Macaca mulatta: one gene and its partner. The protein of the gene in region 1 interacts with the protein of each later gene in a pairwise test. Links are inferred from orthologs where the notes say so. Each region holds a gene or a part of one and is shown on either strand. Other genes may lie near its edges.

Region 1 (3,817 bases):
GCTACGGAGACAAGAAGTCAGAAAGCTCAAGGAAATAACCAGCAGCTCCTCCAGTTTTAGTCTCCTCCTCCCTGGCATGGATACCAAGTTGGATTACAATTCCCTCTACTATGGCCTGAGTTTACAAAAGTTCTCACATCTAGTCTTCAGCCCCTCCCCCTCATTCTGTAAGACAATATCCAGCAGCACCATGGGGGAGGGCCAGCTGGTGAAAGAGCCGCCAGTGGGCTATCTCTAGCAGCTCCTGCCCTTTTAGGCCAAAATTCTTAACCACTCTTGGGGCAAGGCTGGACGCTGAAGGAAGAGCTGCTGTTCACAGAGGTTACTGAATCTCTGGGAAGTTCCATCAATAGCCCTTGGGAAATCTTCGATCACCATGGCTCCAGAAACAAGAAATGCCAACTGAGAGGACTCACATCATTAGTGGGAGAACTGGGAGGCCCATCACCCTGTAGCTCCTTCTTCTTCTTCTTATACTTCCGGGGCTGGGCAGGGTCTTCCCCCATAATTAGTTCTCTGGAAAAAGAGTGGCTCTGAATGAGGCCTCATCTTTGGGAGTCCTACGCTTTCTTTTCTGAACCCATTCCAGACCTACTTCCCACTGTCCATGACCTAGATTTTCCCATATTTCCTTTTTCCCAGGCTTTTTACCCTTGCCCTTTGGATTTCACCTCAAGAACCAGCCCTCCCCACTCTTGAACATTCTCTTCTCCACTACTCAGCCAGATCTTGTTTCTGTTCCTTACACTACCTCTTTAGCAAGCCCATCTCAAACCACCCAGCCCAGGTGGCCATTGCCCTGAACTCCAGGTTGAATCAGTCCCTTCTATACCCTCATTTTATGCTGGAGTTTTAGCTTTCAGGCCCTCATCCTCAGAATCCCTCAAATCCACAGGCTCGTTCCCTCACCGGTGTCTCCAGTAGCTTTGCTTATGTTCTTCATATTCAGGGATATTCATTTCATCTTCCTCCCACGTGGACTGGTCATATGGCAAGTCCCTCCATTTTACTAGATAGTGGTAATTCCCCTTTTTATCCACACTGTGGGGCAGGAGGCCATAAGGAGGAGCAGGAGGAAACAAAAATTGCATAGATCACAAACAGCAAGAAGGCCTGAGAAACGCAATTATCAGCAAACACACAAAATTTGTCACCCAACCTTCAACAGTGGGCGCTGGAAGGGACGTGAGAATAGTTAACCTGGCAGCCTAACCTTCTCAGGATGGTATCCTAAAAATCAACTATCACAAAACATTCCTGGAGATCCCTCCTTATATCATTTGTTCACCTAATCACTAAGTATTTTCCTCATGGACCTCAGAGTCTCATGGGGAAGACAGCATTGAAATAACTAAATAAATACCGTAACTTTAGGCAGTAATAAGTACCATGAAGAAGAAATATTCAGAACACTGGTCTGGATGAATTATGTCTCTCATGTTTTGCTTTCATGCCCTCATCCCCAGACTCATGTGCTATGTCTTATGCCACTGGAGATGACAAAAGAGGCACTGCCTGGCCGAACTTTCCTCCTGTTTTCTCCCATTCCCCTGGAGGAAACAAGGCCAGAAAGGCTGAAGCTACAGCAGAGGTTATCAAGGTTAGATCAATTACCTGGTTAATCAGCAAATACTAACATGAGGCTATCACCATGGTAAGAATAGTGTCATATACCAGGTCTTACTTCCCAGGGCCAAGGATTCACCTGTGGTTGATGATACGGTGGACAGTCATCCACTCTGGCTTGATGCCAAAACGATAGTACTTCTCCTCCATCTCAGCATAGTGTGGGTCTTTCACTTTACGCTTGTCACTCTTCCCATCATCCTCGCCGGAGCCATAGTCCAGGGGCGGGGGCTCATCCATGTCATTCTTCCGCTGGTAGTTTCGGTACATAACCAAATGGAAGATTTCCAGCTGATAGGGCACAGAAAAACGAGGAAGAGACAGGCCTGACACTCACAGAGGACAACAGGGAACGGGGAAGAGGCCAGCAGGAGGAATGGGACAGGGAAAGAGAGCTATGAAAAAGGATAGATTGGCTGGGCGCGGTGGTTCATGCCTGTAATCCCAGCACTTTGGGAGGCTCAGGGGTGCGGATCACCTGAAGTCAGGAGTTCAAGACCAGCCTGGTCAACATGGAGAAACCCTATCTCTACTAAAAATACATAAATTAGCCAGGTGTGGTGGCACATGCCTGTAATCCCAGATATTCAGGAGGCTGAGGCAGGAGAATCTCTTGAACCCATGAGGTGGAGGCTGTAGTGAGCCAAGGTCACGCCACTGCACTCCAGCCTGGGCAATAAGAGAATAACAGGCGCGTCCCAGCACTTTGGAAGGTTGAGGCAGGTGGATCACCTGAGGCTGGGAGTTCGAGATCAGCCTGATCAACGTGGAGAAACCCCATCTCTACTAAAAATACAAAATTAGCCGGGCGTGGTGGCGGGCGCCTGTAATCCCAGCTACTTGGGAGGCTGAGGCAGGAGAATCGCTTGAACCCGGGAGGCAGAGGTTGCAGTGAGCCAAGATCGTGCCACTGCACTCCAGCCTGGGCAACAAGAGCAAAACTCCATCTCAAAAAAAAAGAAAAGAAAAAAGAAAGGAAGAAAAAGGATGGATTAGAGACAAATGAGTCAAAGTCAAAACAGGAGAATAAATAAAATGAAACAGATGCAACAGTTTCAGAAGACACCGCCTGGGTGGGGCTGTTATAAGCAAAAGGAGATAGGGAATGGGGTTATAAACATTGAGATTTTTTTTTTTTGAGATGGAGTCTCGCCCTGTAGCCCAGGCTGAAGTGCAGGGGCACGATCTTGGCTCACTGCAAGCTCCGCCTCCCGGGTTCACACCATTCTCCTGCCTCAGCCTCCCGAGTAGCTGGGATTACAGGCGCCCACCACCATGCCTGGCTAAATGTTTTGTGTTTTTAGTAGAGACGGGGTTTCACTGTGTTAGCCAGGACGGTCTCGATCTCCTGACTTCAGGTGATCCGCCTCCCTCGGCCTCCCAAAGTGCTGGGATTATAGGCGTGAGCCACCGCACCCAGCCGATAATTTTTTTTTTTTAAATAGAGATAGGGTTTCACTATGTTGCCTAGGCTGGTCTCAAGCAATCATCCTCCCCTGGCCTCCCAAAGTGCTAAGATTATAGGTGTGAGCCACTATGCCCAGCCAGGAATATTATAAAACATGGAAAAAGATAGATAAGGAAGGACGTGAAGTTAAGAAAGGCTATGCTATATCTGAGGGAAGAAAGCTAATGGAGACTGAGAGAAAGAGGACTGTAGACCAAAAGAACCACAGATGGAAACTAAGCAAGTAGGGTATAAAGGCCAGAGGCCTGAAACGAGAGAAAATGAAGGGTATGGGAACCCAGCAAACAGAGGAGTAAGAGAGGGAGAGGATGGCAGGAAATGAGGTCATGGGGGAGAGGAAAAGCAAAGGTCCTAGTACCTGAAGCTCCTTGGCCCAGGAGCAGTGCCAGTAGGATAGTCCCACCCACTTGACAAAGAACTCTCGCTCTGATCTGCCTTGAAGAGGACGCGGGGCTGGGACATCTGGATTCCCGTCTGCCTGTTGAGGGGCTGGCATTGCTACAGGCGGCTCCCCCCACCGCCAATGCAAGATCTTCTGCACTCGACCCTTCAGCACAGGGCACTTTGGGATGGACATGTACAAGGAGAAGGAAAAAAAAGAGGCAGACAGAACCCATCGTTAGATGACAGGATAGGGGTCCCACAGAGTGGGGGAGTGCAGAGAAAGGAAAAGCTGGACATGTGGGCCCCAGGGATGGGGGAAGGGATCAGGCCCGACAGTAA
Region 2 (3,817 bases), on another chromosome or scaffold:
GATCAGAAAAAAACTACATATATTTGCAATGAGCCCTGTCCTAAATTTCTATCAAGACCTACTTTTATTCCAGAGTAATAGTATGGGTTGTTTTCTTTTTCTCTTTTTTTTTTGGAGACAGTCTTACATTCTGTTGCCCAAGCTGGAGTGCAGTAGCATGATCTCAGTTCACTGCAACCTCCGCCTCCTGGGTTCAGGGGATTCTTGTGCCTCAGCCTCCCAAGTAGCTGGTTACAGGGCTGTGCCACCATACCTGGCTAATGAGACAGGGTTTCACAATGTTGGCCAGGCTGGTCTCAAATTCCCAACCTCAGGTGATCTGTTCACCCAGGCCTCCCAAAGTACTGGGATTACAGGCATGAGCCAATGTGCCCAGCCCAGTTGTTTTGTTTTTTCCAGTAAACCATACGAATAGATTCACAAGCAATTATGTATATGAATTTGCATTGTTGTTCAGAATTCTTATACTTTTTCCACTTGCTAAATAAGAATGGCATCAATGTGAAAGCATGCTAAGAAACGAATATTTAAGTAGCAATAATCAACAAGGTTAAAAGTCCAAAAACAGGGCCAGGCGTGGTGGCTCAAGCCTGTAATCCCAGCACTTTGGGAGGCCGAGACGGGTGGATCACGAGGTCAGGAGATCGAGACCATCCTGGCTAACACGGTGAAACCCCGTCTCTACTAAAAAATACAAAAAAAAACTAGCCGGGCGAGGTGGCAGGCGCCTGTAGTTCCAGCTACTCGGGAGGTTGAGGCAGGAGAATGCCGTGAACCCGGGAGGCGGAGCTTGCAGTGAGCTGAGATTCCGCCACTGCAATCCAGCCTGGGCGACAGAGCGACTCCATCTCAAAAAAAAAAAAGTCCAAAAAAAGGAGTCCAAATTGCTCTTTATAGCCTAAAGTATAAATAACAGAACTAAAAAAAAAAGTATGGGAAAAGCCCATAAACACAACCGCCGCCTTAAAAAAAAAAAAAAAAAAGATTGGTCTTGGAGGAACAAAGTATCATTACACTGGCAGTGATAAGTTACCCTTATAATAATCAAAAATAGACTCAATCAAGCAGGTGGGTCCCCAAATTTGTAAGATGTTGAGAATTTAGGAGGACATTATGGTTGCTTCCAAGCATCAGATCCGAGTTCATATCTATCAATTACTTGGGATTCATCAAAATATTTCTCTAAGAACTTGTTTTGTTCCATATACTGTTCAAGGCATCGGAGGGATTATAGAAAGTAAAGTAAGACAAAAATGAATCCCAGCTCTCTCAGAAGAGTCTAGTAAAAGAAAAAAGCATCAACAATCATGAGTGTCACAAGAGGAATTATACAAGGAACACGATGGTTATTAAGCAGAGACTTAAAAAGCAGTTAGGAATTATCAAAGCGAACAGATTGCTTTTCAGGTAAGCCTTAGCAAAGGTCAAGAGTTAACCTGATTCACTACACCAGATTTTCTTGTCTGGAAAATGAGAATGTCATCATAGTTAACAAGAATTAAATGACATTAAGTACATAAAATGCCTAGCCCAGCACCATGACCAGCACCTAATTCAAAAGGTGGTAACTTAACACTACTTACAGCACTCCAAAAAAGACATTTAAGTGCTTTAAACAAAAATATAACCTAACACGTGGTTTCTTTTTTTTTGAGACGGAGTCTCGTGCTGTCGCCCAGGCTGGAATGCAGTGGCCAGATCTCAGCTCACTGCAAGCTCCGCCTCCCGGGTTTACGCCATTCTCCTGCCTCAGCCTCCCCGAGTAGCTGGGACTACAGGCACCCGCCACCTCGCCCGACTAGTTTTTTGTATTTTTCAGTAGAGACGGGGTTTCACCATGTTAGCCAGGATGGTCTCAATCTCCTGACCTCGTGATCCGCCCGTCTCGGCCTCCCAAAGTGCTGGGATTACAGGCTTGAGCCACCGCGCCCGGCCAACACGTGGTTTCTTAAAGACACTGCTACTACTTCTACTTCTTATGTTCCCAGAAGGACCCAGCCAGTGACTTCTAAGAGGTCCTTAAATTACATAAAAGGAAAACAAAGTCTTAAATTACCTTGTCAGTCCTGCTGCCACGGTTTGGGCGCCCACCACGCCCACGTCCACCTCGTCCTCCCCTGCCACCACGTCCTGGGCGGCCAAGGTCTCCAAAATTGATCTCCAGCTGAGACGTTATATCATTTGCTGGCTTCCGGAAATGATGGTCCATAACCGAATCTTCAGCATGAGCCTAAAAACATAAGTGAAGATGACTGGGTTATTAGTAGAAAAGTAACGTCGCAAAATTTCTAAATAATGAGCTTTCTTCTAAAAAGACCAAAAATCCAAACTGTACTTTCTGTGAACAAATGTCTGAATGTCTCCACAGGTAACAAGCTAGGGCTCAGCTATAGTGATCTTGGAGGAATAATTTCCTTCACTTTTCTCTATCTCAAAATTGCAGGTAATATCAGTGGTCCTCAACTAAAGACATATATGCTATCACAATCAACCCAAATGATTGTGGCCCATCCCAGACCTACTGAATCATAATCTTTAGCAGTGAAATCTGGACAAGTACATTTTAAATACGCCCTTCAGATCAGGACTCCAATGTGAATCCTTGATGAAGACCTCTGGAGAGGTGACATATAAGGCTACTACTATCACTGAAGTTAAAAAGAACACGCAAGTTAAAAAGAAAACCTCTGTTCTACACTCTTTCAACTATAACTAGGGTAATGACCTTATTCCATACAAACTTTTCAGAAGCATCTTCTGTTAATATACAACCATTATGTTTTTCCACACAAATATGGAGAGCTACAAATTCAAGTGAAACACTACACACTTTACATAAGGGGAATCTTGTAAAGCTATGCACAAATAAATCCACAGCTTAAATGTGTCACAGGAATCTTTTTTTTTTTTTTGAGACAGGGTCTCACTCTGTCACCAGGCTGGAGTGCAGTGGCGCAATCTGGGTTCATTGCAACCTCCACCTCCCAGGCTCAAGTGATCCTCCCACCTCAGCCTCCCAAGTAGCTGGGACTACAGGCACATGCCACGATGTCTGGCTAATTTTTTTGTATTTTTTTATAGACAGGTTTTCGCAGTGTTGCTCAGGCTGGTCTCAAACTCCTGGGCTCGAGCGATCCGCTGGTGTTGGCCCTCCAAAGTGCTGGGACTACCGGCATGAGCCACCACGCCCAGCTAGAAACTTCTTAAAAATGAAGTCATGTTTGTGAAATCCAGATCCTTTCTATTTGTGTTTAAGATACATGACCCAGTCTGGGAGGAAAAAAGCAAAAAGCCAGACAGTTCTACACTGCTCCATGCCTGATGTCTTCTTCCATGCTTGGGATGGGTTTTAATCTTCTAGTTGAAAACTGTGCCTATGGGACTTTAAAGTACAGCTTTCTTTTTCTAAATACATGTAAGAAATCCTCTTTTCTACAGGAATAAAGAACATTTTCTTCTTTCATTAGAACTTGTACTATTACAATTCCATTAGATTCAACTTAAAATATTACAACTGTTAATAACTAGCCTTTAAAGTACAAATAAATTTTTGTGTTTTCATCCCTTACATCAACTCATACTAGCATTAAAGGTCAATCCTTTGTACCCACACTAACACAATGTAAGGCAATAGAAGGCTCTAATACGAATTTTAAAGGAGCCTAGAAACATAAAAACAAATTCACAAAAACACCAGCAAATTAAGATGAATTATATACACTAATTGTGTGATTTTTAAATGTTTGCTCTTTCAAACCAATGCTTTCAATTAATTGCAAACCACCTATCAAAAATATTCAGAAGAAAATAAAACCAA

Evidence for each region.
Region 2: the proteins of CHD3 (region 1) and SERBP1 interact in binary tests that used the Homo sapiens proteins (3 or more experiments, as listed by UniProt). The link is inferred for Macaca mulatta from reciprocal best matches to the Homo sapiens genes CHD3 and SERBP1.

The regions. Positions count from the first base shown.
Region 1 is NC_133421.1:9,402,493-9,406,309, reverse strand, and holds part of CHD3 (chromodomain-helicase-DNA-binding protein 3), read right to left. Parts: intron 3,657-3,817; coding exon 3,453-3,656; intron 1,918-3,452; coding exon 1,706-1,917; intron 1,042-1,705; coding exon 910-1,041; intron 517-909; coding exon 417-516; intron 2-416; coding exon 1-1.
Region 2 is NC_133406.1:173,192,620-173,196,436, reverse strand, and holds part of SERBP1 (SERPINE1 mRNA-binding protein 1), read right to left. Parts: intron 2,231-3,817; coding exon 2,057-2,230; intron 1-2,056. UniProt on the Homo sapiens protein: Ribosome-binding protein that promotes ribosome hibernation, a process during which ribosomes are stabilized in an inactive state and preserved from proteasomal degradation.